3 linked regions of the Stegostoma tigrinum genome follow. The protein of the gene in region 1 interacts with the protein of each later gene in a pairwise test. Links are inferred from orthologs where the notes say so. Each region holds a gene or a part of one and is shown in the gene's direction. Other genes may lie near its edges. The genes, in order: trim59, zdhhc22 and nurim-like.

Region 1 (10,978 bases):
AGTTCAATCATTTAATAATCTCAACCCTAACCTTGTTTCTTTTTAAAAAATATTTGCTGATTTTGTTTTACTCTCATGTTTTCATTTTCTGCTATTCTGTCATTTGTATCTCTACACACATTTTGATTTTTTTTCTTACTTGACATTTGCCACTTTGGCCTTGCTCTGCCAATCTTTTTGCCATTGAATCCTTCCAGCCATCCTTATCACAGACCTCCCACCCCCACCGTTTTGTACTTCTGGCCCTATCCCACACTTATTGCATCCCTTAGTTGTTGGGGTTTTGTGGCCCAGTCCCTTTCTCTGGGCAAGAAACTCTGGATCTAAGATTTTCTTTGTGACTTGATGGCTATGGACGGTGTATCATTGTGGCCAATTCTCAGTCTGTAAATTCTTCCCATATGCCAAAAGGCAGGTAGTGAGAATTTCCTGGTCAAAACAACAAAAAGGGTGATAGCTGTGACACCACAGCCCTTCCACTTCAAAGACTCCAGATGTTGCTTCTTGCCAGATCTGAGGGACTACCATAACCGGATGATAACAAAATTGGCGGTATAGTGGACAGCAAAGAAGGTTACTCAGAGTACAACAGGACCTTGATCAGATGAGCCGAGGAGTGGGAATTGGAGTTTAATTCAGATAAATGTGGGATGCCGCATTTTGGAAAGGCAAGTCAGGGCTGGACTTATACATTTAACTAGATACCCTACAATGTGGGAACAGGCCCTTCAGCCCAACAAGTCCTAGGTGCGTTGCCAAACAAAGAGACCTTGGAATGCAGTTACATAAAGGAGTCGCCGGTAGACAGGGTAGTGAAGAAGGTAACACAGTGTGGAGCTGGAGGAACACAATAGGTCAGGCAGCATCAGGGGAGCAGGAAAGCTGACATTTTGGGTCAGGACACTTCTTCAGACTCTTTTTCTGATGTGGGGTCCCAACCCAAAACATCAGCTTTCTTGCTCCTCTGATGCTGGCTGGCCTGCTGTGTTGCTCCAGCTCCGCACTGTGGTATCTCAGACTCCAGCATTGGTAGTTCTTACTAACACATAGTAAAGATGTTTTGTATGCTTCCCTTTGTTGGTCAGTGCATCGAGTATGGGATTTGGGAGGTCATGTTGTGGCTGTACAGGACATTGGTTAGGCAACTTTTGGAATTATTTGTTCAGTCTGGTCTCCCTGCTAAAGGAAAGATGTGGTGAAACTTGGAAGGATTCAGAAATGCTTTACAAGGACGTTGTCAGGATTGGAGGGTTTAAACTATGGGGAGAGGCTGAATAGGCTGGGGCTGTTTTCCTTGGCATGTGGAGGCTGAGAGGTGACCTTAAAGAAGTTTATAAAATTGTGAGGGACATAGGTTGGGTTATTAGTCAAGGTCCTTTCCCCAGACTAGGGGAGTGCAAAACCAGATGACACAGATTTTAGTTGAGAAGAGAAAGATTTTAAAAATGCCTCAGGGGCAACTTTTTCATGGAGAGAGTGGTATATGCGTGGAATGAGCTGCCAGAGGAAGTGGCAGTGGCTGGTACAATTACAGCATTTAAATGGTATATGAATAGGAAAGGTTTAGAGGGATATGGGACAAATGCTGGCACATGGGACTAGATTAATTTAGGATAGCTGGTCGGCATGGTCGAGTCAGACAGAAGGGTTTGTTCCGTACTGTACATCTCTATGACTGTTTGACATCTGTAATTGTTCCAAACTCTACACTAATCTTTTCTTTCTCTACAGATCCGCCTGATCCGCCGAGTATTTCCAGTGAGCTTTTTTTTAAATTTCAGATGTCAAGCATCCAGAAAATATCATTCACGTTTGCTTGCATCTCCGGAAACGATACCAAACCATTCACTTCCTTGTTAAATCAGAAAGCTGTTGTTCATATTGGAGTTTTCCGATTCTACTGCTTCAAGCCGTTGACGTTATGTACTCTCGAGGGTTTGATTGAGAGAAGATAATCAAAATTGTGACTTCTTTTGACAGACAAACCACGAATTATACCTATCCGCTCAGGTAGAAATTTCGGAGTTAACCAAGACCTAAAACGGCCCAAAATCCTCGGATGCAGAGGTTGTTAGTCAGTGAAAAATGACGCTTTTCAAAGTCACTTTTTCGATAAACTGTAAAACACCGTCGTTACAAAGGAAACCTAGAAAATACAGAACTGTAGGTAGTCCATTCATTCCGCTAAGCCTGCTGCTGAGGCTGCTTATACACTACTGTAGTTCACTGAACATCAATAAAGTCTGAAAACGATTAAAGGATGCTCAAAACAGCAGAGTACCTTTGCGTAATTAGGTGAGGAAAGCCAGCAAAGCCAAAATAAAACTCCGCTAGCTTAATAACCTTGCAAATAATGGGCAATCCTTTTCAATTCTGTCTCCATTCGATTATCAAGGAGATTTGAGAGTGAATTATTTGTTCATAACACCTGAGACCACTATGGATGAGGATAAAGCCTCGCGCTTCCCAGCTCAATTAAACAGTACTCTTTCGATAAATACATTGGTACAAAGGTTTTTACTCACACAGCAGCTTAAGAAGAGGCAAATAAAAATGCAGCTGGAAATTAGATTTTCTACTATTAGAAATGTAACAAGATTCCAGCCCCTGCACGTTTGAGAGCTGTGTCTGTATGATGTAAAAACTGAAACTGCTGGAGAATCCATATTGAAGAGAGAAACAGAGTTAAATTTCAAGTCCAGTCTGACGCTTCTTCAATATTTGTGTGAGTGATTGGCTACAAGCCCCACTATAACATTTCAAAGCTGAGGTTCCATCGGGAGATATGCCTTTGTGATCAAAACGAAACACGTGTGAAATATAAATTCCCATCAGAGTGCAGTAGCAAGCATAACATTGCTAAATAACATAATATTTAAACATAAGATACCGCTAGCGAGTTTTGAGAAGATTTGTAGCTCAGGTTGAGGTTCTGGATGTGAGTTTGCTCGCTGAGCTGGAAGGTTCGTTTTCAGACGTTTCGTCACTTTTTTTATTTGAAAAAATATACTTTATTCATAAGATGTACAAAAAATAAAACATATTTATACACACCTACCCAGTCATGCAAGCCACTCCGGCTTACCCAGGGGGTACGTACACCAGCTAAAGGCAAAAAACAAACAAAGAAGAAAAAAAACAAAGCAAAGAAAACACCCCGGCAGTCGTCTCCCCGCACAGTTCCCGTTGGCCCCCTGGCCAGTTGGGGAAGGCGCCAGCTGGGCCCAGTTACCAGATAGGGTTCTTTTTCCTATTCTGGACAAGGGGTTTCATACCGTGGTCTTTCCCCACCGCGCCTTGGCGGTGGCTGCCCCAAACTTTAGCGCGTCCCTCAGCACGTAGTCCTGGACCTTGGGGTGCGCCAGTCTGCAACACTCGGTTGGGGTCAGTTCGTTCAGCTGGCAGACCAGCAAGTTGTGGGCAGACCAAAGAATGTCTTTCACCGCATCGATGGTCCTCCAAGCGCAGTCGATGTTGGTCTCGGTGTGCGTCCCGGGAAACAGCCCATAGAGCACGGAGTCCCACGTCACGGAGCTGCTCGGGACGACCGACCTCACCATCAAACCCGCAGACAAGGGTGGCGCAGTGGTAGTATGGCGCACTGACCTCGACATCGCCGAGGCCAGACGCCAACTCTCCGACACCACCTCCTACCACCTCCTCGATCATGACCCCACACCCGAGCACCAAACCATCATCTCCAACACCATTCACGACCTCATCACTTCAGGGGACCTCCCACCCACAGCCTCCAACCTCATTGTTCCCCAACCCCGCACGGCCCGTTTCTATCTCCTTCCCAAAATCTACAAACCTGCCTGCCCTGGTCGACCCATCGTCTCAGCCTGCTCCTGCCCCACCGAACTCATCTCCACCTATCTGGACTCCATTTTCTCACCTTTGGTCCAGGAACTCCCCACCTACGTCCGTGACACCACCCACGCCCTCCACCTCCTCCAGGACTTCCAATTCCCTGGCCCCCAACACCTCATATTCACCATGGACGTCCAGTCCCTGTACACCTGCATTCCGCATGGAGATGGCCTCAAGGCCCTCTGCTTCTTCCTGTCCCGCAGGCCCGACCAGGCCCCCTCCACCGACACTCTCATCCGCCTAGCTGAACTCGTCCTCACACTCAACAACTTCTCTTTTGACTCCTCCCACTTCCTACAGACTAAGGGGGTGGCCATGGGCACCCGCATGGGCCCCAGCTATGCCTGCCTCTTTGTAGGTTACGTGGAACAGTCCCTCTTCCGCACCTACACAGGCCCCAAACCCCACCTCTTCCTCCGGTACATTGATGACTGTATCGGCGCCGCCTCTTGCTCCCCAGAGGAGCTCGAACAGTTCATCCACTTCATCAACACCTTCCACCCCAACCTTCAGTTCACCTGGGCCATCTCCAGCACATCCCTCACCTTCCTGGACCTCTCAGTCTCCATCTCAGGCAACCAGCTTGTAACTGATGTCCATTTCAAGCCCACCGACTCCGACAGCTACCTAGAATACACCTCCTCCCACCCACCCACCCTCCTGCAAAAATTCCATCCCCTATTCCCAATTCCTCCGCCTCCGCCGCATCTGCTCCCACGATAAGACATTCCACTCCCGCACATCCCAGATGTCCAAGTTCTTTAAGGACCGCAACTTTCCCCCCACGGTGATCGAGAACGCCCTTGACCGCGTCTCCCGCATTTCCCGCGACACATCCCTCACACCCCGCCCCCGCCACAACCGCCCCAAGAGGATCCCCCTCGTTCTCACACACCACCCTACCAACCTCTGGATACAACGCATTATTCTCTGACACTTCCGCCATTTACAATCCGACCCCACCACCCAAGACATTTTTCCATCCCCTCCCCTGCCTGCTTTCCGGAGAGACCACTCTCTCCGTGACTCCCTTGTTCGCTCCACACTGCCCTCCAACCCCACCACACCCGGCACCTTCCCCTGCAACCGCAGGAAATGCTACACTTGTCCCCACACCTCCTCCCTCACCCCCATCCCAGGCCCCAAGATGACATTCCACATTAAGCAGAGGTTCACCTGCACATCTGCCAATGTGGTATACTGCATCCACTGTACCCGGTGCGGCTTCCTCTACATTGGGGAAACCAAGCGGAGGCTTGGGGACCGCTTTGCAGAACACCGCCGCCCAGTTCGCAACAAACAACTGCACCTCCCAGTCGCAAACCATTTCCACTCCCCCTCCCATTCTCTTGATGACATGTCCATCATGGGCCTCCTGCACTGCCACAATGATGCCACCCGAAGGTTGCAGGAACAGCAACTCATATTCCGCCTGGGAACCCTGCAGCCATATGGTATCAATGTGGACTTCACCAGTTTCAAAATCTCCCCTTCCCCTACTGCATCCCTAAACCAGCCCAGTTCATCCCCTCCCCCCACTGAACCACACAACCAGCCCAGCTCTTCCCCCCCCACCCACCCACTGCATCCCAAAACCAGTCCAACCTGTCTCTGCCTCCCTAACCAGTTCTTCCTCTCACCCTTCCCTTCCTCCCACCCCAAGCCGCACCCCCAGCTACCTACCAACCTCATCCCACCTCCTTGACCTGTCCGTCTTCCCTGGACTGACCTATCCCCTCCCTACCTCCCCACCTATACTCTCTCCACCTATCTTCTCTACTCTCCATCTTCGGTCCGCCTCCCCCTCTCTCCCTATTTATTCCAGTTCCCTCCCCCCATCCCCCTCTCTGATGAAGGGTCTAGGCCCGAAACGTCAGCTTTTGTGCTCCTGAGATGCTGCTTGGCCTGCTGTGTTCATCCAGCCTCACATTTTATTATCTTGGATTCTCTAGCATCTGCAGTTCCCATTATCTCCGAAAAGAATATGATCGCCAAAAATTTTAGCGTTTACTAGCTGCACTGTTGGGTGTGCCCGCTTGCATTCCGCCAGGATTTACTGAAAACTGTTTGAAAGCTTCATAACAATTTTGAAAAATTCAAATCCGAGCGGCTCCCTCGACTATTCGCTGCTTTTTGAAGAAGGGGTTTTCCAGACATGCGCTGTGTGAATTACCGAGCTGGAAGATTGAAGGGTTAGCTGGGCCAAGCAGCAGAAACTCGGCTTCGTTCAATGTTCTCTTCAGCCGCCAGGAGAAACGTGCCCCAGTCCCGCCGCGTGTTCATTTTGCCTGGTGAGTGGTCTCTCTATTGTCCCTTGATTTCCTATAGGGAGGGCTGGCAGCGAGAGCCAGCTACAAGCCATCCGCTTCATGGTTAGGCCTTTATAAAATCAAATGTAGAATAAAGATTTCGCAGTTCGAGTGCACCTCCTAATTCACCGCGAACCCGGGAATCATGAGGAAACTGACTCTCACTTGTAATGACCACTGAGCGGGAAATGAGCCGGGGCAACATTAACTCCAACATCGTCCCCCTCCAGATAAATAACAAAGCAGATTGGCTCCGTTTGGGTGAAATCGACACTAAGAAACGGACAAAAAAAACCGTTTTTTTCTTTAAATAACATTTACTGAAAATCGGTCGACCATCTTTCCGTGTTTGATAGAATCCCAATTTGAGATCTGAACTATGAGAAAGCTAAAATAAATGCGTCAATTGCATTTCAAACCTTTCTGACAGTACCCTGAAAACAAAAACTAAAACCAAAGTGGCATGAAAGCCGGTGATCTGCCTGTTTCACTGTCATTGTTTAAAAAAATATCGTATGCAACTAGTGACCTACAACAAATATTGTACAAAAACATTGTTGTGGGTGCAGTATTTAGCACAATATGTTAAAACACCGCTCTCAGCATTTGTTACGTTTTTACCTCACTGTGGTTCATTCTTATTTAAAATTAATGAACTGTTTATAACCAAATTAACACTTTATTGTGTAGCTTGATGTGATAGATGTGTGAAGTTGAGAAGAGATATCTATGAAATCTTGCCATTGAAATCATTTGGGGTAAACATTGACGTTGACGCTTGAACACTTTCCATTGCGGCATATTTGTTTACATATTCTCTCAATTTCTTCAAACAATGAATGAAATGAACTGTTGTAATCTTTGTAATTCACTTGGAAAGATCAGCTGTTATAATGCCTATTTGGGATTCCATTGTGTAAAGCTGTTTTCTGTGATGCCCTTATGACAGTCAAGACATCCTCAGCCTGGCTTTAGTTCTTTCCCTACACAGTTGCACTCGAAGATATTCTGCCATTTCTATCAGATTGAGATTTCTATAACAAGAAGTCTACATTGATATGAATTTCAGATGGTGCAGATTCTGTCCTCAAATGAATTCTTCCTTTGTGTCTGCCAGATACCCTGGACCATAAAAGGGATTAATTGCAAGCTCTCTAGCTTTTTATTAATTCCTTTTCACAGTACAGTGATCCTCACACAAAGGGAATGTTGAAATAAAAGCAAATCATTTTATTATTTTAAATAAGTCAGCATAAATTAAAACAAGAAATAAAAGTCTTTTTAAAATAATTATTTTCCTGTTATCAACATGGGCATGTCACCTTTCCTGAAGAAAAAATGTTTTGATGAATGTATACCCCATAGATTGCAGCAGATCAAAATCATTCGTCGCCACCACCTTGTTGAGGGCAATTAGGGAAGCACAACGACTGCTGATGTAGCAGCAATACCCACATCCAGGGCAATAGCAACAAAATCTGGGAAATATACTTGTCACAGTGACCAATAACAAAATGATGCCACTACATATTTTGGGGTAAAATGGCATTGGAATGCAAAAATATTAATAGATGAAGCAATAGTTAATGAATTTACTTGAGTGACTACATCGCTTTGTGTGTCAGATTTAAAACTATCAACATTTGTAGGTTTCTAAGTTTTGTTCACTCATAATTGATAAAAAGTCTTTGTTTAGAAAACAGGTCAAATCCATAGAAATACATAGAAACTTCTGATCAAAATTTGAATGCAGTATTTCCAAACTCTGTAGCCTTAACATGATAACATTCCACTACATTTCAGTGCTGTCATGTAATTTTGTTTTGCTGTTCTTTTGTTGTTTACCCAACATTCTGTATGTTGGTATATGAAACAGATTAGCACCTAGTTATATTTGTAGTTCAATTTCCAGACAGATAATACTGGATAAGAAATGGCCCCTCAAGAGAAAGCAAGTTATCTATTTGCCTTTATTGTTTCTATATGAAGCTGCCATTATCATCAATTTCTCAAACTCAGTTTTGAAATTCTGTAAACCTAATCTTATTTGGGAAAGCTAGATTCTAATAGTAATTTCTAGCAACAAATTTGTGAAACATGGAAATTGACGTTTTCCTAAAATGACAACATGTATTTGCACATTCAAAATTAATGACAGAAAAATAACAACTGAGAAAATGTTACTCAAATTTGTGAATTGCCTACCAGTTATTGATTTAAGCAACATTTGCTTTTCAGCAATTGCTACTAAAATTATATTACTGGAAATTCTATTGGAGGTTCACTAATTGACAACAATATTGACAAAGCAAGCAATATATTTGGTGACAAATCTGTGCTTTGTTGGTATTGTGGCTACAATTGACTTCACCTTACTATTGAGCCAAGGAACAAAACATTGCCATGCTTTGTTGTGAAGTGTGAAAGTCTAGGAGCATGGCAAGAATTTGTCCCTGTGAACTCATATTCCAGATGTGCGCTCAGAACCCAGGGGATAATTTGTTTTGTAATTCTGCATGTGTTACAAAATATCTGTTGGGCAACAGTTTCCTTGTTATGTCTTTATTAGTTTATCCTACATCATGATTTACTTGTAACAGTATAATTACCATCAACTGATTTTAAAAAAAATAGTTGACCTGAAAAGGCTAAAATGTAGCATTTATTCCATATACAGGGGTCAGTAATGGAGAGAGAAACGGTTTCTCACAGTACTTTATACAAGTTTATGCTGATTTAGCCTATTGAATTTATTGTGACAAAGACACATTTTAAGTGATATTTAAAATCTAAAGCAACATCAGGCCTTCTAGTGATTAATGTGATTGTATGGTAAAACTTTTCAAAAGAACTTAACTGATCCTTTGAAATAAAACCTTCACAGACATGCATAAAGTACACAGTATTGCATAAATAGAACATCTGAATTATTACATAAAATGCATGAATTTTACAAGTGGCTGATCTACACCCAATGGACATCAAGCAACGGTTTCCAAGCAATTTTGGTAGCCTCAAGTACGTGCATTCCTACAATGGCCCATTCAGGAACAATTTTGAATGCAGTTGATGACCAGGATGCAAACTGTGCCAAAAATTACACTGGGTGTTGAGAAGTGTTTTGTTTCTCTATCAATTTTCAGTTGAGTTTTATTTAAGTATCACCATACCTGAAATCTGCCCTGTAATTTAGAACACACTTTGAACCCTGGGTGATTTGGTGATGGAGGAAAAATAAAGTTTGGAATGTGTAAGGACACTTTTAGAAATAAGGAGAGAGAAAAAGAAAATAAAAAAAACAGAACCCACTTTGATTTTAAAAAATATTCCTTGCTATATGAAACAGAGACCTGGACTGTTACTCCAGAGATTGATTCAAATCCTACCATGACAGCTCGTGAATTTAAATTCGATGAAATAATGAATTTGAAATAAAATATTGGTCTCATGAATTGATCAGAAACTATTTGATTATGCTTAAAAACAAAACTATCATGTTCACCCAAACCCTTCATGGGAGGAAATCATCTGCCCTTATCAGATCTGGCCTATCCATGATTACAGACCCACAGCTAGGTGTTGACTTTTAACTGCCCTGTGAAATGGAATAGCAAAATACTCAGTTGTATCAGTCAGCTACAGACTGCACTGGGAGTGGCTACAGCACTGGTTCCTTACAAGCAGAGAAAAGAAAAATTATAATGGGGAATAAGGAAGGGCAGTGCCGTGAAATATATATTTTGTTTTCACAGGAGAAGATACAAGGTGTATATCAGGTGTATATAGGGGGTAACTTAGGGACTAAAAAGAAAGTGAGTCTTTAGGTAATTAATATCAAAGATAAATTACTTTAGTTACTTGAGGAATTAACATCTGACGTCCCATGGTATTGATGGCTTACACCCTTGGATTCTCATAGAGGTAGTTGCAGAGATAGTGGATATGTTAGCTATGGCTTTTCAAAATTTCTTAGATTTGGGAATAGTCCCATCAGATTGGAAGTTTACAAATATAGCATTGCCTTTTAAGAAATGAGGGTGATACAAACCGGGAACTACAGGCTGGTTGGTCTCATCTGTCATTGGAAAATGCTGAAATGTGTTGTTAAGAAAGTCTGAACAATGAACTAAGAAAAACAAATCATGCCTTTTTTTTAACTGTCAAGATGAGGAAGGATTTCTTCTTTCAGGAGTTGTAAATCTATTGAATTCTTTGCCATAGACAGGTGTTGGAACTGGATCATTAAGTATATTCAAGGTTGAGATAGTCAGATTTTTAAGCGGGAAGCGATTCAAGATTTGTGGGGAAAAGGCAGGAAAGTGAATGTGGGGACTATCAGATCAGCATGATATTATTGAATGGTGGAGCAGATTCAATAGGCTGAATGGTCTACTTTGTATTAATGTCTTATGATTCTGCTGAAATTTATTTATGTATTGTGATGAAGTGTGTCATTTATATGTACACTTTTTTAAAGAGTTTGAATTTTAAACCAGTGAAGATGTTTAATAATCAGATGTTTAACAAACTCTGACACCTTTCAGGAACCATGATTTTAAGCTGCTATGTGCCTCCAGGAGTGTGAGTGAAAATTGCTTTGTATTGTGGGGATTCATGACAGGAGACAGGACACATTGAAAGATGTTAGCTTGGTTATGGGTTTAGAATAATCAAGAATTAGCCTCATCTTAGAAAAATCCAGAGGTTTCAAAACCTCTGTGTGCAGTTTGCCCATCCTCCCCATGTCTGTGTGGCATTCCTCCCACAATCCAAGAAATGCAGGTTGGGTGGATTGA
Region 2 (11,068 bases), on another chromosome or scaffold:
GAGGTGCATGCCCACCCACACCACCAACCCCCCAACCCGCCAAACTAGTTTAAACCATTCCGAGTAACGCTAGCAAATCTCTCCACGAGGGTAGTGGACCTCCTCCAGTTCAAGATTATACTGGTCGAATCTACCCGAGAAGAGATCCTAATGATCCTGCTCCCTACACCGTCTCCTCAGACCTGCATTCATCTGACCTATCTTTCTATTACTACCCTCACTGGCAATGTGGCACTGGGAGTAATCCGAAGATCGCTACCCTTGAGGTCCTGCTTTTAACTCCCTACCAAACTCCCTATACTCATTTCGCAGGACCCCATCCCTTTGTCTACCCATGTCATTTGTACTGATGTGCACAATGACCTCTGGCTGTTCAGCACCCCTCTTCGGAATATTCTGCACCCGTTCAGAGACATCCTTGACCCTGGCATCCGGGAGACAACACACCATCCTGGTCGCTCTTCTGTCGCTCCCCCTCACAACTGAATCTCCTATCAGTGTTGCTCTGTCTAACTCAACCCCTACCCTCTTGAGCCTCAGAGTCAGTCACAGTGCCACTGACCATACTGCTGCAGCTGCTAGCCCTGATAGGTCATCCCTTTCAGGGGCTAGCAGGGAGACTGTGCACTATCTACAAGATGCACTGCCAAAGGACCCCAGCCAGCACCTTCCAAACCCACAGCCACTTCCATTTAGAAGGACAAAGTAAGCAGATACATGGGAACAGCACCCCCTGTTGGCTCTACTTCTGACTTGAAATTATATTGCCATTCTTTCACTGTCGCAAGAATAAAATCCTGGAATTTCCTCACTAAGGAACATTGAGGGTCAACTCACAGCAGGTGGACAGCAGCGATTCAATACGACAACCTACCACCATCTTCTCAATGGTAATTAGGGATGGGCAGGAAATGCTGGCCAGCCAGCAACACCCACATCCCACAAATGAATATAACACAGACTGATTATGGATGTGAGTTTGCTCGCTGATCTGGAAGGTTAGTTTTCAGACGTTTCGTCACCATTCTAGGTAACACCATCAGTGAGCCTCCGACGAAGCGCTGGTGTTATGTCCCGCTTTCTATTTATCTGGTTAGGTTTCCTTGGGTTGGTGATGTCATTTCCTGTTCTTTTTCTCAGGGGATGGTAGATTGGCTCCAAATCAATGTGTTTGTTGATGGAATTCCGGTTGGAATGCCATGCTTCTAGGAATTCTCGTGCGTGTCTCTGTTTGGCTTGTCCTAGGATGGATGTGTTATCCCTACACTACATTGGACAAACAGGCAGAAAGCTAGCCACCAGGATACATGAACATCAACTAGCCACTAAACGACATGACCCACTATCACTCGTATCCTTACACACAGATGAGGAAGGACACCACTTTGGGACAACACATCCATCCTAGGACAAGCCAAATAGAGACACGCACGAGAATTCCTGGAAGCATGGCATTCCAACTGGAACTCCATCAACAAACACATTGATTTGGAGCCAATCTACCATCCCCTGAGAAAAAGAACAGGAAATGACATCACCAATGCAGGAAATGACATCACCAACCCAAGGAAACCTGACCAGATAAATAGAAAGCGGGACATAACACCAGCACTTCGTCGGAGGCTCACTGATGATGTTACCTAGAACGGTGACGAAACGTCTAAAAACTAACCTTCCAGCTCAGCGAGCAAACTCACATCCAGAACCTCAACCTGAGCTACAAATCTTCTCAAAACTCACTAAGAGACTGATTAGTTATGACTGCATTCACTGGTATGTGGACAAATGAGGAGGGATCTCATTGAACTCTATAAAATTCTAACAGGTCTAGACAATGTAAACACAGAAGCAATGTTCCCAATGAATGGCGAGTCCAGAACCAGTTTAAGGATACGGGGTAAAATTGTGATCAGAGATAATGGGAACTGCAGATGCTGGAGAATCCGAGATAGCAAAGTGTGGAGCTGGATGAACACAGCAGGCCAAGCAGCACGTCAGGAGCACAAAAGCTGACATTTCGGGCCTAGACCCTTAACCCTCTCTGATGAAGGGTCCAGGCCCGAAACATCAGCTTTTGTGCTCCTGAGGTGCTGCTTGGCCTGCTGTGCTCATCCAGCTCCACACTTTGTTATCTAAGGATACGTGTTAGGCTGTTTAAGACTGAGATGAAGAGAAATTCCTTTGCCAGAGAATGATGACCCTGTGGAATTCTTGCCACAGAAAGCAACTGAGGCCAAAACATTGAATGTTTTCAGAAAGGAGATATTGTTCTTCAGGCTACAGAGATCGAACATTATGGGGCAACAGCAGGAACAGGGGACTGAGTAATATGATTGAACATGATCATATACAATATTGGAGAATATTCTATGCTCCAATATTCTATATTTCTACATTTGGACATGACACACTTCTGTTCCTAAACCGTTTTCTGTTCCTTATTTCTGTGTTTCTATGATAAGACCATAAGACCAGAAGACATAGGAGTGGAACAAAGAACAAAGAAAAAAGAAACCTACAGCACAGGAACAGGCCATTCGGCCCTCCAAGCCTGCGCCGATCAAGATCCTCTGTCCAACCTGTCATCTGTTTTCTAACGGTCTGTGTCCATTTGCTCCCTGCCCATCCATGTACCTGTCCAAATATATCTTAAAAGATGCTAACGTGTCTGCGTCTACCACCTCCGCTGGCAACGCGTTCCAGGCACCCACCACCCTCTGCGGAAAGAACTTTCCACGCATATCTTCCATAAATTTCCTCCTCTCACTTTGAACTCATGATCCCTAGTAATTGAGTCCCCCATTCTGGGAAAAAGCTTTTTGCTATCCACCCTGTCTATACCCCTCATGATTTTGTAGACCTCAATCAGGTCCCCCCTCAATCTCCATCTTTCTAACGAAAATAATCCTAATCTCTTCAACCTCTCTTCATAGCTAGCACCCTCCATATCAGGCAACATCCTGGTGAACCTCCTCTGCACCCTCTCCAAAGCATCCACATCCTTTTGGTAATGTGGCGACCAGAACTGTACACAGTACTCCAAATGTGGCCGAACCAAAGTCCTATACAACTGCAACATGACCTGCCAACTCTTGTACTCAATACCCCGCCCAATGAAGGAAAGCATGCCATATGCCTTCTTGACCACCCTATTGACCTGCGTTGTCACCTTCAGGGAACAATGGACCTGAACACCCAGATCTCTCTGTTCATAAATTTTCCCTAGGACTTTTCCATTTACTGTATATTTCCCTAGGACTTTTCCATTTACTGTATAAGTAAGAGGAAGTAAGGCCATTTGGCCCATCAAGTCCACTCTGCCATTTAAATCATGGCTGATGGGCATTTCAACACCACTTCCTTGCACTCTCCCCATAGCCCTTGATTCCTTCTGAGATCAAGAATTTGTCGATCTCTGCCTTGAAGGCATCCAACGTCCCGGCCTCCACTGCACTCCACGGCAATGATTTCCACAAGCCCACCGCTCTCTGGCTGAAGAAATGTCGTCTCATTTCAGTTTTAAATTTACCCCCTCTAATTTTAAGTCTGTGCCCATGGGTCCTAGTCTCCCTGCCTAATGGAAACAACTTCCTAGCGTCCACCCCTTCTAAACCATACATTATCTTGTAAGTTGCTATTAGATCTCCCCTCAACCTTCCAAACTCTAATGAGTACAATCCCAGGATCCTTAGCTGTTCATCATACGTTAAACCTACCATTCCAGGGATCATTCATGTGAATCTCCACTGGACACGCTCCAGGGCTAGTATGTCCTTCCTGAGGTGTGGGGCCCAAAATTGGACACAGTATTCTAAATGATACTAAAATAGTAAGTTGCAATGAAAAAGTGTATACGGAAAGGTTAGGTGAATGCATAGAAGTTTGCCAAATGGAGTTTAACAAAGAAGCCTACAGCACAGGAACAGGCCCTTCGGCCCTCCAAGTCTGCGCCGATCGAGATCCTCGGTCTAACCTGTAATCTATTTTCTAACGGTTTGTATCCATTTGCTCCCTGCCCATCCATGTACCTGTCCAGATATATCTTAAAAGACACTAACGTGTCTGCGTCTACCACCTCCGCTGGCCAGTCAGTACAAAGTCTCAAAGAAATGAAACTGGATGGATCACCTGGCATTGACCTGGGCACCAGAAAAGACAATGGCAGAAACAACCCTGTCAACCCTGCAAAGTCCTCCTCACTAACATCAGGGGGTTAGTGCCAACATTGGGAGAGCTGCCTCACAGACTAGTCAAGCCACAGCCTGGCACAGTCATACTCACAGAATCGTACCTTACTGACAATGTCCCAGGCACCACCATCACCATCCCTGGATATGTCCTGTCCCACCAGCAGCGGCAGACCCAGCAGAGGGGGTGGCACAGTGGTATACACTCGGGAGGGTGTTCCTCCAGGAGTCCTCAACATTGAGTCTGGACCCCAGGAGGTCTCATGGCTTCGGGTTAAACATGGGCAAGGAACCCTCTGGCTGAATATTACATATCCACTCACATACTGTCTTCCCTCAGCTGATGAATCAGTATTCCTCAATGTTGAACAACACTTAGAGGAAGTACTGAGGATGGGAAGGGCACAAAATGTACTCTGGGTGGGGGACTTCAATGTCCACCACCAAGAGTGGCTCAGCAGCAGTATTACTGATTGAGCTGGTCAGGACCTATCGGACAGAGCTGCGAGACTGGGTCTGCAGCAGGTGGTGAGGGAACCAACAAGAGGGAAAAACACACTTTATTTCATCCTTACCAATCTGCCAGCTGCAGTCGCATCTGTCCATGACAGTATCAGTAGGAGTGACCATTGCACAGCCCTTGTGGAAACAAAGTCCTGCCTCCACATTGAAAACAACCTCCATCGTGTTGTGTGGCTCGATCATCGTGCTCAATGGGGCAGACTTTGTACAGATCTAGCAACACAAGATTGGACATCCATGAGGCGCTGTGGGTGACGGATGTGTTGGAGATGGTCGAAGGTTGCAAGAACAGCAACTCATATTCCGCTTGGGAACACTGCAGCCCAATGGTGTCAAATGGATTTCACAAGTTTCAAAATCTCCCCTCCCCTCACTGCATCCCAAAACCAGCCCAGCTCATCCCCACCTCCCTAACCTGTTCTTCTTCTCACCTATCCCCTCCTCCCACCTCAAGCCACACCTCCATTTCTTACCAACTAACGTCATCCCGCCCCCTTGGCCTTCCGTCCTCCCCAGACTGACCTATCCCCTCCCTACCTTCCCACCCATACTCTCCTCTGCACCTATCTTCTCCTCTATCCATCTTCGGTCTGCCCCCCCACCCCTCCATCCCTATTTATTTCAGAATCCTCTCCCCATCCCCCTTTTCTGATGAAGGGTCTAGGCCTGAAACATCAGCTTTTGTGCTCCTGAGATGCTGCTTGGCCTGTTGTGTTCATCCAGCTCCACACTTTGTTATCTCGGATTCTCCAGCATCTGCAGTTCCCATTATCTCTGATCGCTATATTATCTTATATTCATTATTGTGTTATTGGCTGACGGCTGAAGTAAAAACAGAAAATGTTGGAGAAACTCAGCAGATCTAGCAGTATCTATACAGACAGTCCCATGGCACTTCTTCTAAAGAAGAGACAGACCAGACTTAAAACGTTAACTCTGTTTCTCTGTCCAGAGATGCTGCCAGGCCTGCTGAGCTTCTGCAACACTTTCTGCATTCATTTCAGATCTTCGGCATCTGCAGTATTTTGTTTTAATTCCCTATCTCATTAGCCTCTGTTTATCGGGTTAGCTGTACAGAAAATATGATGGAGACCTTTTTATATGACAGTGCCACACTCGTGATGTCATCTAGCTGTCTTAAAGGTATAGTACCTTAATAATATAGCATGATGGGCCAAATGGCCTTCTTCTCCATAGTATGATTTGATGACTCCATGGAGGTTATGAGATTCAACACTCTATGATAAAAATAGTAATACTAGAGACAGGATCACATTCCAAATGGAGACTGGAGGGATCTGTTTGAATAGTAGATTTGTGGCTTCGTTTGCACACAGTGACTGAAGCACAGGCTGTAACTGTGGAGGTTGCAGTTTGTGGTTACAGCCAGTTGGGGAGCACCGTAACACTGGGCCCAGGAGCAAGGACACAATCGCAGGGCAGGAGGTTCTGAGCTGCAGGGTTCAAACACAGACACCGGATCGGGGCACAGGATAACGAGCACATCTCAGATCCAGGTACTGCATCCACAACATCCATCAGCAAGAAGGGCAGTGAGAGCTCACAGCACCGTTATCACCACCGGTATTTATTCTTAGCTCTTTAGAAAGGCACAGTGCTTCACATCATCTTCAAAAAGACTGCTGTCTGCAGCACGGCCAGCGAGAGAACGAGAGAGAGAGAGAGAGAACAATAGAAGCAGTCTGATAAATGACAGGCTGACTGCAGTCATCACAAACAAAAATGAAGCCCACATGAAGGCAACCTCATGCAGAGAGGCAGAGGGAGAAAGGGGCCTGGAAAGATGAAGAGTCAGAGAGACAGAGAGAGAAATAGAGAGGGATACAGAAGAAACCGAGAGACAGACAGACATAGAAAATCAGAGATAGTGAGAGTTTGCAAGAAAACAGAGAGGGAGCCAGGGAGAGAGGCTTAGAGACATAGAGAAAGACAGACATGGGTCAAACAAGGTGAAATACTCAGCGAGCGACACAGACAGTAATACAGAGGGACATACAGAGAGAGACAAAGGCAGAAGACAGAGGCAGAGACAGAAGATAGACAGCAAGAGCAGGCACAGGCTGAGCACACAGGGTTACATGGACAAAGGGCACAGAGACAAGGAGAATGAGAGATAGAGAGAGACCCAGAGTAAAAGCAAGAATAAAACTTGTGAAAATAACAAAATAAAAAATGAATGTAGAGGATATACGATCAAAAGAGCAACACTGAGTGAAACAGAGTCAGCAAAGAGGCAGATAGAGATATGCTCAGCGTTATTGCATGTTCAGGATGTTTACCATTAATCACCTTCACTGTTAACCACTGTTTACCACACTCATTGTAAATCTTTAACCACACCCACTGTTAACAAGATTTATCATTAATCACAGTCACCGTTAACCATTCTCACTATACAGCCCTGCTCTCCAGTTATCTGCCTATAGTTCTCTCTGTCACTCTCTTTCTCTCCCTCCTTCAGTCCCTTTATCCTATCCTTGTACCTCACTGCAGGCTGATGCCAGCTTTTCTCTCATTACACACATTGTCAGTCTCTGAACTCACCCTAGTGTCTGTGAGATTCAGTGACTGTCTTCATTAGCAGTTTTCTCCACTGGACAGACAAGTTCCAGATCTTGGGAATCTGAATGGGGAAAGGGATGAGAGGGAGGTTGCGGTGAGGAGGGAGTGGCATTGGAGGAATGAAAGGAGGGTAGCCTTTCTGCCATCATCAACAGCTTCTCAGTTCGACAGGATGTGGGATAAGGAGGAAATAGATGTGAGAAGAAAGATTGGGAACAATGTGATGAGGGTATTAAATTTAGCCTTGTCCCTGGACTTGCCCTCGGCAATAGTCCTTTCATGGTGACAGACAGCATCTCTTTCATTGGGATTGGAGCAGGCCAGATGTCCCTCTCTCCCTTTGGATCATGCTGCCTTATGAAACCCCTACACTTGAGGAAAGAGGGACATGAGTCAGGGAGTGTGGAGCAATGTATTGGATACTGTGGCTGTCATGGTTGAATTTTTGATAGTGTGGGTACACTGGGAGCTGTGGGTGTGTGGCCTGTAACAATGTTAGTATTTAGTGGGGAGGTGAGAAACTGAATGAGCGGTGAAGGCTGATTGATCTAGACTGTTGGCAGCCAATGATTAAGAAGGTAAACTTGGCAGTAAATGGGTGTGATGGGTGCCGTTCTGTGGCTGTGATACATGAAGATAAATTGAATGGTATCGTCCACTCTGTGAAACAATTAAACATATCCAGCACCTTGGCCCGAGAGTCCAGCATTGATCTCCATGGCTATGGTTTCAACTGCTATCTCATTACGGCTGGAGGGTCTCTGTACCCCTGAGGATACAGAACCAGGATTCAAAGTTATGTAGGAAAACCTCAATGGGACAGGGTCTTTCCCACAGTTGTACATGATGCATCAAAACCTCCAGCAACCGTGATAAAAGCCAATACTGCAGCTGCTGAAAATCTGCAGTGATAACAAAAACTGCATTCAAGGTGAATGGAGTATTAAATAGAGAGGTCTTACTAAAATTATTTCTTGCCAGAAGTAAAGATATAACAGCATTGGAAGCAGTCCAGAGAACGTTGATACCAAGTATGGAGGAATTGTCTTACAAGGAAGTTCAGTAGATTAGGTCTGTACTTGTTGCAATACAGAAAACTGAGAAAACTATAAGATTCTTTGGACTTGAAAAGGTAGATGCGATGAGGTTGGTTCCCTTTGGGGGAAAGTCTCAGACCAGAGGGCAGAATCTAAGAATAAGGGATTGCTCATTTAAGATGTCCTGGGGAGGAATTTTGACTCTCAGAGGGTTGTGAACCTGTGGAATGTTTTACCTGAGAGTGCTGTTGAGGCTAGGGCATTGAGTTCAGTCAAGGTTGAGAGAGATTTTTAGTCAGTAAGGTGATGGGAGGTTATGGAAAAAGGGGAGTAAAGTGAATTTGAGGATTATGAGATCAGTCATAATGTGCATGAATGGCACAGCAGTCTTGATGGCCTGAATGGCCTATTTCTGGCCCTACATTTTATGGACTTGTACTCAGCAGTTCAGGGAGCTTCTATAATGAGGGGTGGAGATGTGAATGGCTGCTATTGTCTGAGAACAATGACAGTAGAACAAATATCAACGATAAAAGGAAATAAAGTGGGGTGAGACGTTGCATTTTAAAATTGTTTAATTCAGCATTGAGTCCAGAGGCTGTAATTTGCCTCATTGAAAGATGAGGAGCTGTTCCTCAAGCTTACATTGACCCTCACTGGAACACAACGGGAGGCTAAAGATTGAGAAGTCAGAGGAGAGCAAAATAAAGAATTTAAAATAATAGGCAATCAGAAGCTTAGGGTCACGTTTGCAAAATTAAAGACAGTATTCCACCAAGGGGCCTCTATTGATCTCTCCAGTGTTGAGGAGACCACATCATGAGTACTGCACACAGTTTTCTGAATTAAAAGAAGCATAAATAAATTGCTACTTCACCTTGAAGCAGCGCTTGGCACTTTGGAGAATGAGGAGGTAAAGAGCAGGAGTTCCATTTCCTGTTGTTGTTGGATGGTGTTGAGGGAGGGGAGGGATGTTGTTGGCAATGACAGGAGTGGACCAGGGCATCACGGTGGAAACCATGACTTCAGGATACAGAAAGGGAAAGGGGAATGGAAGACGTGGGTGGTGGTGCCATCAGGCAGGGAATGATACGTGTCTATGGGATCTTGCCTCTTATTTCAGTAACGTCAAATCCAGGCCCAATCCTGTGGGCAGGTTTTCCTCTACTGGATGGCCTCTGGATGCAGTAGGCATAGAGGGATGGCCTGGATCATGGCTCCCTGGTTAGTGCCCTCCAGATGGCAGACACACCTCTCCCCATCACTCTTGGAAACTGAAGACGAACTGGAAACCCCAGCAGCAGCAACAAAATTCTTCGGAGTCCAGTGTGTTGTCTATCTTGTGGAGGTTGGGATTCCCAAACATGTTTCTTGTAAAATGACCAGCCCAAGGAATGATGTTAGTTGATCAGCACACCAACTGGTGATGGTATTTTTGAACTCCATTTCTGATCATGCAGGCCCAGAGATTCTCTTTCGAGTGAGATTAAACACTGTAATTCTGTAGAATGCTTTTCTTAGCATCTGACAAATAGAAAGTTCTGGTTTTCAGAGAACTGCAGAGCACTTTTTGACACAGTTACGACCACAAATTTTACATAGACCAATATATGTAGATATATTGATTGGAAAGTGTAGTAGAAGTTTACAAGATTGTGAATGGCATGGATAGAATGCAAAGTATAAGGCTTTTTGTCAGAGTGGAGGGGTCAGTTAGTAGGGGACACAGGTTCAAGGTGCAAGGCGGGGGGGGGGTGGAGTTTAAAAGAAATGTGCAAGGCACGTTTTTCTCACAAAGGGTGGTGAGTGCTTGGAATACATTGCCAAAGGAGGTGCTGGAAGCAGACATATTAGCAACATTCAAAGAACAAAGGAAATTACAGCACAGAAACAGGCCCTTCAGCCCTCTAAGCCTGCACCAATCCAGCTCCTCTATCTAAACCTATTTTCCAAGGATCTGTGTCCCTCTGCTCCCTGCCCATTTATGTATCTGTCTAGATACATCTTAAATGCCGCTATCAGGCCCACCTCTACCACCTCCGCGGCAACACGTTCCAGGTGCCCCCCACCCTCTGCACCCTGGGAAAAAGCTTTTTGCTATTCACCCTGTCTATACCCTTATGATTTTGTAGACCTCAATCAGGCCCCCCCCCCCTCCCAATCTCCGTCTTTCTAATGTAAATAATCCTAATTTACTCAACCTCTCTTCATAGCTAGTGCCCTCCATACCAGGCAACATCCTGGTGAACCTCCTCTGCACCCTCTCCAAAGCATCCACATCCTTTTGGATTCAAGAACCACCTGGACAAATACATGAATAGGAAGGGAAGAGAGGGATACAGATCCTGTAAGTGATGACATTTATAGTATGGAAGAGCAAAATGTTTTTGTATGGGTTTGGACGGCTGAAGGGCCTGTTCCTGTGCAGTAGTTCTTTGTAAGTCAGATTAGAATGTCTGGTCAGCACGGACAAGTTGGATTGAAGAGTCTGTTTCTGTGCTGTACGAACAAAAACAAAGTTGCTGGAAAAGCTCAGCAGGTCTGGCAGCATCTGTGAAGGAAATAAGCTCTGAGGAAGGGTCACCAGACTCAAAATGTTAACTCTGTTTTTTTCTTCACAGATGCTGCCAGACCTGCTGAGCTTTTCCAGCAACTTCTGTTTGTGTTCCTGATTTACAGCATCCGCCGTTCTTTCAGTTTTTATGCTGTGCTGTATGACTCTGACAGATTAGCATGGAA
Region 3 (10,965 bases), on another chromosome or scaffold:
AGAAATGGACTGCTTCGGTATTGAAGGCATTGCAAATAGCGTTAAATATTATGCAACCATCTGTAATTATCCCCATTTCTGACCTTAAGATGGAGGAAGGTCATTTGCGAAACATTGCAGATGGTTGGGCCAAGGACACTACACTGAGAAACTCATGCAGGGATGTCCTGGAAATGAGATGATTGATCCGCAACAACAACAATTATCTTCCCATACGCTAGGTGTGACCGCAACCAGCAGAGACTTTTCCCTGATTCCCATTGATACCAGTTTTGCTAAGGTTTCTTGATGTCAAACTGTATTAAATGTGGTCTTGATGTCAAGGGCTAAAGAGTTCAGCTCTTTTGTCCATGTTTGATCGTGCCTGTGTCAATGTCTTGAACCAAAACTAATTATCATGAAGCAAGTTATTGCCGTGTGAGTCTGCTTGATAATACCACCCACAATCCCGGCCAGAACTACACTGATGATCAGGAGTAACATGATGGGATGGCAATTGGTTAGATGACCTGCTTTTATTGGACAGGATATACCAGAAAAATTCTACATTGTTGGGTAATTTGCAGTTTTGTAGTTTCACTGGAACAGCTTGTCCAGCACTGCGACAAATTCTGGATTGCAAGTTCTCTGTAACATTACCAGAGCCCACAGCCTGAGCAATATCTGAAGCCTGCAGCTGTTTATTGATGTCATGTAGAGTGAACCGAATTAACTGAAGACTGGCTTTTGTGATGCCGAGGACCTCATGAGGAACAGACATATTGTACGCTCAGCAATTTTGGCAGAAGTTGGATGCAGATGCTTCAGCCTTGTCTTTTACACTAATGATTTAGGCTTCTCAACATTGAGGACATGGTAGTTTGCAGTCTCTCCTATTGAGAATTGTTTGAATGTCCATCATAATTTACAAATGGATGCGGCAGGGCTTTAGACATAGGTTTGATATGTTGGTTGTAGGGTCACTTAGCCCTGCCTATCATAAGTTGCATCTAAAGTGCAAGTATTTTAGCATGAATGCGTTGCCACTTCATTTTTAGAAATGCCTGGGTGCTGCTGTTGGCATGCCATCCTGCATTCTCCAATGAAGCAGGGTTGGTCCCCCAGCTTGATCACGTTTCTGGAATGGGGGAATATCTCAAGCCATGACAATACATTGTGTGGTTGATTGGGCATTCTGCAAAAGCAGGATTCAGAGTGCCTCAGGGATATCCAGTTTTGAGTTGCCAGATCTCTTCAAATTCCAAGCGATTTAGCATGGTGGCAGTGCCACACAACACAAAATGAAAACAAAAGACAGAATTACATCTTTGCAAGGACTCTGTGGCAAACATTCCTGCTAACACTGTCGAGGGCAGATGCATTTGTAACAGGTAGATTGTTAAGTATAAAGTTTTTGCTGTATTTATTTCCCTGATACAACCCAGTCTAGAAGTGGTGTCCTTTTAGGTTTTGGTCAGTAATGGTGCTACCAAGTCACTCATCATGAAGGACATTAAACTCGTCCACCACTGCATCAATCACCTTCCCCCACCACTTCAAGTGCAACTCTTTCTTCTTTCAATTAGTGTTCAACATCAAGGAGTACTAATTCATTAAGCAAGGAGGGGAGACAGGAGAGAGACAGATTGTAACAGGAAGGAGATTTCCTTGCCATTGTTTGACCTGATAACGTGAGATTTCATGAAGTCTGGATTGAGTATTTTGGAGTCCCAGGGTAAGATTATACCAACCGTAAACTACTGTACCACCACCTCCAACGAGTCTATTCAGCTGGCAAGACAGGAAATACCCAAGAATGATAATGGTAGTGCCTGAAATCATGCCTGTAAGGTATGATTCCATGAATTTGACTAGTCAGACAGTATGTCAACCAGTCTTTGGCACAACTGTTCCAATTCTGGCACAAGATTTTGCAAGGAAAACTTTACAGAGTTGTCAGGGCTGGTTCTGATGTCAGTTCTGTACCTAGATCAATGCTGGTGGCCTGTGCAGATTATGTTTTCCTTTCCTGAAGAGTCATCACAGTTAGATACAACAGATTTGCTCTCTGGACCATTTCAGATGGCAGTTAAGTATCAACCATATTGTTGTGGATCTGGACTCACACATAAGCCAAACCAGATCAGGATGATAGATTTCATTTTCTACAGTGCATTACTGAACTAGACAGGGTGTTAAACAATCAAATGCTGCTTTTTAATCTCAGATTTATAAGTCTATGTTCATTCATGTACTGTGATAGCCTAGCTGTCAAATATTTCTCTGTGACATTACCACTACATCACCACATTCCTTCTAACATTTACACACTCTTTTCCTCTTTGTCTTTCTTAAGCAGGGAGATCAGCCCAGATGGCAAATGCACGGTGTAGAATAACACTAAAAACAAAGATTTGATTCCTGCCCCAGATCAGCTAGACTTGGTGCATTCCCCCTGGCTCTCTCCCTTAAAATGAAAGACAATGAAAATCCATCACCACACAAAATCTGCCATGAAACGACTCAGAATGGTGCATCAACAGGTAATGAGCCAAAGGACTACCTTTGGGCAGCATACAAGTGATGCAACATTTTCTGTGGTTAAAAGAATAACTAAAATGCTGTGCTGAACCCATTCTAAATCTTGCCTCTGGGAAATATCAAATCCACTACACCATTTGTTTAAATCTTGACTGATCATTCACAGCAGTCGACATTGTTCCTTCTCTTTCTCCATCTCCTTCGTGTAATTAGATTTGATAGTTCTCTATGTTTTATCATCCTTCATGTGAGAAAATTTCCCCTCATCTCAGTTTTAAATTGTCTGTCCTTTATCCTGAGATTACATCCTTTGATTTTAGACTCACCACCCTGGGAAACGTCTTACCTACATCTATTCTGCCACACTTTGTAAGAAATTTATAAGTTTTGTTTGAATTTCCCAAACCTCTGTAGAATACAGGTCAGAACTCCTCAATTTGCCTTCATAAAACAATCCCTCCACCTCTGGGATTAATCTGGTGAACCTCTGTTGCAGTTCCTCTATGGTTAATATATGCTTCCTTAGATTAAGGGAGCAAAAATGTACACAACACTCCAGATGAGGTCTCACTAATGCTCTATGCCACTGCAGCTTGACATATTTAGTCTTCCATTCAAATCCCGTCACAGTGAAGACTAACTTCCTAATTGCTTGCTGCATTTATACACTAAGTTGAAGTGATTCAAAAACAAGGACACCAAGGTCTGCAGCAGTGGGAGCGTGGAATGCACTGCCAGCAGTGGTAGTGGAGTCAGATAATTTAGAGACTTTTAAGCGACCCTTGAATAGGCACATGGAGGATAGTAAAATGTAGGGTATGCAGGGGTAGATTGATCTTAGTAGGATAATAGGTCGGCACAACACTGTGGGCCGGAGGGCCTGTACGGTGCTGCACTGTTCTATCTTCTATGTTCTAATTTCACTTCCTATCTCTCACCATTTAAGAAATATTCTGCTTTTCTGTTTCCTTTTTCTATTAAAATAAATAACTTCATTCTCATTTACATTATATCCTGTCTGCCATGTCATACCCGTTAATTCAGCCTGTTCAAGTTCTCTTGAAGCTTCCTTGTTATATTTTCATTTATTATTTTTTAGTTTTTTTTTAATATTTGTTCTTCCTTTGCTGGGTTCTAAATTGGTCCTGATTCTTAGTCTTGCCACAGTTTTCTAGCATCCATGTCTCACTTCCTTTGGCTTATAAAGATCTAATGCAATCTTTATCTTCTTTTATTAACCACACACCCTTCAGTTTCATTCCATTCAGGAAAGTTTACCTGTTGCAAACGTTGACATCATTGCCTGTCTACTGACAAATCCTTTTGTAAATATTTTCAAAATCCACCATAGTCAACTTATTCATAACGGTGTATTTATTCATAACTGAACTCCGAGATTCAGAACCGTATTGCATTCAAATATTAATGCAAAATGTTATCATACTATAGTCATTATTTCACGAAGGCTCCTTTAGTGTGGTTATTAATTAGTCTTGTTTTATTACACAGCTCTAAATACAAAATATCCCAATTGATAGTTGGTTTCTTAATATACTCCTCCATCTCATACACACGCTAGCAATTCATTCTTCACAGCATTAGCACTGACTTCATTCACCCAATCTATTTTTCACATGAAATCGCCTTTCATTGCTGTATTCGAGATAATGGGAACAGCAGATGCTGGAGAATTCCAAGATAATAAAATGTGAGGCTGGATGAACACAGCAGGCCAAGCAGCATCTCAGGAGCACAAAAGCTGACGTTTCGGGCCTAGACCCTCTCTGATGAAGGGTCGAGGCCCGAAACGTCAGCTTTTGTGCTCCTGAGATGCTGCTTGGCCTGCTGTGTTCATCCAGCCTCACATTTTATTATCATTGCTGTATTACACAGGTTACATAAATCCATGATTTTCTGGTTTATACTGTGTCCAACATAACTACAAGAGTTTGGCACCCTTAAACCCTTTGCTTTCTGTTCCTGCTGTTTCTTAGTTCCACCCAAACTGATTCTACAGCTTTGATCTAAGGTCCTCTAAAATTAACATCAGAACATCAATCCATTGAGTCTGCACTATCATTCAATGTGGTCATGGCTCATACTAATGTACTGATCTAGGCCCTTATTAAGGTGCAGCGCCACTTCCTTTTCCTTTCTCCTTCTTCCTCCTAAATGTCACTATCTTCGATGTTCAATTCCAAGTCTTGGTCACCAGCTATGCTTTATAATGACAATAATATCACCCCAATTTACCTCATTGTGTGCCTTCAAATCATCAGCTTTTTGTCTTAAAGATGAGTAAGGCATAAATAGCTTTTAATTCTCTTTTACTTACATTATGCTCTACCAAGTTTTTCTTTATTTTTGCCTATTCTTAATGTATTTGCAATTTTACTTTCCATTTTTATATTTCCTTTCATTAGCTTTGCTTCCCTTCAAATGTGAACTGTCTCTCAGATCCCATTCCCTTAACAATCTAGTTCAAATCCTGTCTAACAGCACTATCGAATCTCCCGGTGCAGTCCTGCTAAAATGCATCTCATTCATCCTAAATGATTCAATTGGCCAATGCTAGGGAAATCTGATATCTTCCCTCCTACATCAATTTTCTATCTCTGTCTTTAAACCTCCTGTTTCTATATTTACCAACTAGCATGTCAAATTCAATATAATAAGTAGATTCAAAATAAGGGACGCCCAAATGGATCAGAGATGAAAAGATTTTTCTCACTCAAGGAGTTATGGATTTTTGGAATTCTCTACACCTAATAGCCGTGGACACTCGAGTGCGTTCAAAATGTCGGGAGAAGATTTTCGGGGTACCAATTTAATTGGGAGATTTAGATATAGCACAGGCAAAGTGGAATTAAGATAGCAGATCAGCCAATGGGCGTGTTGAAGAGAATTCCACAGATTTAAAACAATGCCAGAAAGAATTTCGCTTCATCTCTGCCATAAATGGGAGATCCCGACAGCGGATGCCGTCGATTGTAATACCTGCCCTGTCAAGCACCACAGGATTTTACAGAATTCAATAGCATAGCATCCGTCTTTTTCTCTCTTCTTTTCTCAATCCATGACTGGTCGTCTCTTACTTCTTCCCAAAATTAACGGCGGGAACGCCATATTCCTCCTTTTCGCTTATTGCCTGAGGAGCCAGGGTGATGGAGGGCTTCTCTATCCAGCGTGCACCGCGACAATGAAAGTTCCCCCTAACATTCACATCCGCTACCACTGGGCCGGCGCGCCCGACCCAATGACCCGGAAGTGTTCCCTCTTCCGATGCCATGACCGTGTTACATTCGGCCGCCCTTGTCGGCCTGTCCCTGGCCAACTTTGTTTTCGTTTCGTGGAGCGCGGCCGAGTTCGTGGCGTTTGTTTCCCTGCGGCAGATTTACCGGGAGAGCAGGAGACCGGGAGGGGCGGCGACAGGCCCCGAGGCAGGTAAGACGGTGGGCAGCAACATGGCGGGCTCGGGCCTGGGCAGAACCACAGGATCAGGTGGAGCAGAGGCACGGACCCTCCAGTACTGCAGGGGGCGACACCGAGAGTGCAGCAGGCACGGACCCTCCAGTACTGCAGGGGGCGACACCGAGAGTGCAGCAGGCACGGACCCTCCAGTACTGCAGGGGGCGACACCGAGAGTGCAGCAGGCACGGACCCTCCAGTACTGCAGGGGGCGACACCGAGAGTGCAGCAGGCACGGACCCTCCAGTACTGCAGGGGTCGACACTGAGACTGTAGCAGACGCTAACCGTCCATTTCTGCAGCAACCAACACTGAGAGTGTAGCAGACACTGACCCTCTACTTCTGCAGAGTAGGGAGGCGACATTGGAAAAACACTGGACATTGATTCTGTAATGCTGCAGGGGTGATGCTGAGGAGCAGCGGACATTAATCCTCAAGTATTGCATGGGGTGACTCTGGAGCAGCAGACTTTAATCCTCAAGTGCTGCAACAGTGGGGAGCAGCAGACACTCACCCTCCTGTACAGCAGGGGGAGACAGTGGGGAGCAGTATACACTGGCCCTCCAGTACTGCAGGGGGTGACACTGGGGCAACGTCAGGCATTGATTCTCCAGTACTGCTCAGGGTGATACTGGGGGAGGCAGCAGACACTGATCCTCTGATACTGCAGAGGACAGGACTAAGGGAATACCAGATACTAACCCTCTAGTATTGACACTGGACAAACACAAGGCACTGACTTTACCCTACTGCAGGGATCACCCCACAATGACACTCCAGTACTGTGTAGATGAATACTGAGGGAACACCAGCTACTGACCAAGTACAAAGCAGACATTGACCCAGCAGTATTGTGGAGGGTAGTATTGGGGCACCCAATAATGCGACTGAATTGTAGGAGACATGACCAAGCAGATAGATTTGTACAGCATGGAAGCTGACCCTTCAGCCCAAAGAGTCCACATCAATCATGTTCCCAAGCTAAACTATTTCCATGTACCTCTGCCCATATCCTTCCAAACCTTTTCTACTCATGTACTTATCCAAACGTTTTTTAAACATTGTTACTGCACTTGCATCCACCACTTTCTCTGGCAATTCGTCCACACACAAACATACGCTGTGTGTAAAAAGAAAAAGTTGTCTCTCATGTCCTTTTTCAAACTTTCTCCTCTCACCTTAAAAAAGACATGCTCAAACCCTCCAGTCCTGGCAACATCATGGTTAATCCTTTCTGGCTTCAGGTTAATAATATGCCTCCTGTAACAGGGCAACAAGGCTGCACAGAGTACTCCCGAAGAAGCCTTGCTAATGTCCTGGACAACTTCAACATGATGTCCCAACTCCAGTACACAAAGGTGTGAGCAATGAAGGCAAGCGTGCTAAATGCCTTAACCATTCTCTCTACCTGTGACACAATTTTCAAAGAATTAACTACCTGGACCGCTCAGTCTCTCCATTCTACAACACTACCCCCAGGGCCCTATCATTACTTGTGTAAGTACTGCCCTTGTTTGTTTTGCCAAAACGCAGTGCTTCGCATTTATCCGAATGAAACTCCATCTGCTGCTCCTCAGCCCATTGACCCAATTGATCAAGATCGCTTTGTAATCTTAGATAACCATCTTCACTAATCTATATACCACAATTTTGGTGTCATCTGCAAATTTACGACTGTACCTCCTATATTCTCATCCATATCATTTATATGAATGACAAACAAAAGCAGGCCCAGTACCAGTCCCTGTGGAACACCACTTGTCATAGGCTTTCATACAAAAAAAACCCTCTGCCACCACCATCTATCTCCCATTGTAAAGATAGTTTCATATACAATTGGCAAGACAATCCTAATCCCATGTGATATGACTTTACTGATTAGTCTACCATGTGGAACCTTATCAAAGACTTCACTAAAGTCCAAGTGAACAACGTCTACCACACTGCCCTCATCTAACGTAGTGGCTACTTCTTTAAAAAAATCTCGAACAAGTTTGTGAGACACAGTTTCCCTCGCACAAAACCATGTTGGAAATGCCTAATCATTCCTTGCCTCTCCAAATTTATGTAAATAGTGTCTTTCAGAATCACCTCCAACAACTTCACCACCACCAATGTCAGGCTCACAGATATCAGACACAGTCTACAAGGGAACACCGAACAGATAACAAACAAGCATCAAATACAAGTAGAATTTTTTCAAAAAGCAGAATTAAAGGCACTCTTGAGTGCCCATAGTGTTGTCAAAGCTGTTGATTATTTGATTGTATAAATTGAGATAAATGGGTATGATCTACTTGCAACTGGGAATATGTAGCTCCAGGGTGACCAAGGTTGGCTACTCAATATCCAAGGATATATGGCATTTAGAAGCGATAGACAAAAAGAAAAGTAGGTGAGATGGCTCCCTTAATAAGAGATGAGACTGTTTCATTAGTTTGAGAGGATATTCAACCAAAGATGGAGGTGTAGAATCAGTAGAACTAGGAGACCACAAGGCTAGCCAACATTGAGTTGTTTATTGACAGCCAAACTGTCAGCAATGTTGAAATAAAAACAAAGAAACTTGGCAGGTCTGGTAGCATCTGTGAAGAGAGGAACAGTTTAATATTTCAAGACAAATATGACGTCTACAGAACTCTCTCACTCCACAGTTGCTGCCAGAGTTGCTGAGTTTCTCCAGCACCAGGTTTTGTTTCTGATTTCCAGCATCCTCTGTATTTTGCTTTTATGTTGACCTGTCAGCACCGATGATAGGTCGTGAATTTGCTGACACACATTCGTGGACAGCCTCCCCAACATTATAGCATTTCACCCAGTCTTTGAAATGTGCATGTGACTGAAATTCGTCTGCTTTCTAATTCAACCAATTGTCTTGCATCCCTCTGAATTTACATCAGACAGTCCAACAGATATTTCAATCTGCATGATTCTTGCTTGGAGAGGACTTGTCATTGAGCTAAACCCTTTACAGGTGCTGTTTCTCCTCCAAGTATCTTCTGATTGTAGCCATCAAATCAGATCTCAATCTTTACAAGAGATAAGGCCAAGGCCCTAAAAGCAGTAATACACTGTATCCCCAAAAGTCATCTCAGACATCCTCAATGCAGTGGATCTCCTCTTTTGTTGTACCTAGAAGACGTACCTGTGAGGTTCTTTCAATACTGCGTTTGCATCTCAAGGTATTGAGACACTTCTGGATCTTCATGGTCAACTGCATTATCTATGGGGCTCGATGCTATTGGTAATTGATATGGTGATGATCAGTTCAACATTCATCACTGCACATGAATCTCATAATGTTCTCGACTTTCATGACCCTCTCCCTGGCCATGACACCACAGATTAGATGCCATTGCATATAAATAGGGTGCATCTGCTGGTTAGATTCATACCGGGCGCATAGGAAGGTGGTTGTGGTTGCTGGAAGTCAGTTATCCCAGCTCCAAGACATCTCTGCAGCGGTTCCTCAGGGTAGCGTCTTGGCCTGATCATCTTCAGTTACTTATCAGTGATATCCCCCCCTATCAGAAGTGGGAATGTTTGCCGATGATAGCACAATGTTCAGCACCATTCACAGCTCCTCAGATACTGAAGCAGTCTAAGCCCAACTGCAGCAAGACCTGGACAATACCCAGGCCTGGGCTGACAAGTGACAAGTAACAATCATACCCCACAAGTGCCAAACAATGATCTTTTCCAACAAGAGTGAGTCAAACCATCATCCCTTGACATTTGATGGAATTACCATCACTACATCTCCCACTATCAAAATCCAAGAGTTTACCATTGACCAGGAATTGGAATGCATTCGTCATGTAAGTACTGTGGCTGCAAGAGCAGGTCTTAGGCCTGGAATCCTGTAGTGAGTAACTCACCTCCTGACTCCCCAGAGCCTGGCAACCAGTTACAAGATAGATTTCAGGAGTGTGATGGAACACTCCCTACTTGCTTGGGTGGGTGCAGGTCCAACAAAATTCAAGAAGCTCTCTTTTGAAGTTGGGTGTGGCTCATTATCGATATCAGATAATGAACATAAGATACTGAAGAGGGCAGCACTGGGCTATTGTTGAACCAACACTGCTATTGCAAGGGGAATGTATACCAGTTCTATAACATAGATTCAGAACTGTTGTTTTCAACAACAATAACCAATATTTATATTACATCTTTGACATAAAAGAATGACACAACAAACCTCATTGTAATCAAAACAAGAAGATATTAAGCCAAAGAAGGGGCTTGAGAAGCACTCAAGAATCTCAACACTATTGTTGTCAAAGCAGCCCACTCGATCTGCATTCCATCTAATACTTTCAACATTCACTTCCTCCACCACTGAGGCAAAGTGGCAGCAGTGTGTAGCATCTACAACAACTCAGTAAGGCTCTTCTGGCAGCTCCTTCCAAACCTGTGACCTCCACCAGCTAGAAAGGCAGGGACAGCAGATGCGTGGGGACACCAACGCCTGCAAATTCCCCTCCTGGTCACAAAACACCCAGACCTGGAAATGTATTGCCGGTCCTTCACTGTCGCTTGATCAAAATCCGAGAACCTCGTTCCCAGCAGCATTGTAAGTGACTGCGGTAGTTCAATGCGGCAGTTCTCCACCACAATCTCAAGAGCAGTTTGAGGTGGACAATAAATGCTTGCTTTAACAGTGTGTGGGTGAGTGGGGCATGGAGTAATTGAATGTTTAATCAGTGACGGAGAGGACATTGAATGCATCTTGGGGATTGGGCTCTGTACCTGTGAGTCCCAACACCAATTTTGGCTGAAAGGAAGGGAGTGTACAGGAGGCTAGAGTCACATTCCCAGCATGATTTGAGGGTATTGTGGGGGATGCTGAGTTTATGGAGATGGGAAGATATAAGGCCACAGAAAGGTTTAAAATCTTGTCCAACGTGGTGTGGGAATGACTTACAACACAGTGTATTTACAGACCAAAGGCTCCACGTCCAAATGGCCTACATAGA

The links.
Region 2: the proteins of trim59 (region 1) and zdhhc22 interact in binary tests that used the Homo sapiens proteins (3 or more experiments, as listed by UniProt). The link is inferred for Stegostoma tigrinum from reciprocal best matches to the Homo sapiens genes TRIM59 and ZDHHC22.
Region 3: the proteins of trim59 (region 1) and nurim-like interact in binary tests that used the Homo sapiens proteins (3 or more experiments, as listed by UniProt). The two-hybrid records come from large-scale screens. The link is inferred for Stegostoma tigrinum from reciprocal best matches to the Homo sapiens genes TRIM59 and NRM.

What each region holds. Positions count from the first base shown.
Region 1 is NC_081367.1:27,477,901-27,488,878, reverse strand, and holds the start of trim59 (tripartite motif-containing protein 59), read left to right. Parts: upstream 1-5,745; 5' UTR 5,746-6,164; intron 6,165-10,978. UniProt on the Homo sapiens protein: E3 ubiquitin ligase involved in different processes such as development and immune response. Serves as a negative regulator for innate immune signaling pathways by suppressing RLR-induced activation of IRF3/7 and NF-kappa-B via interaction with adapter ECSIT.
Region 2 is NC_081363.1:774,992-786,059, forward strand, and holds the start of zdhhc22 (palmitoyltransferase ZDHHC22), read left to right. Parts: upstream 1-6,100; 5' UTR 6,101-6,226; intron 6,227-11,068. UniProt on the Homo sapiens protein: Palmitoyltransferase that could catalyze the addition of palmitate onto various protein substrates and be involved in a variety of cellular processes. Catalyzes the palmitoylation of KCNMA1, regulating localization of KCNMA1 to the plasma membrane.
Region 3 is NC_081387.1:14,531,194-14,542,158, reverse strand, and holds the start of nurim-like, read left to right. Parts: upstream 1-5,758; 5' UTR 5,759-5,807; coding exon 5,808-5,964; intron 5,965-10,965.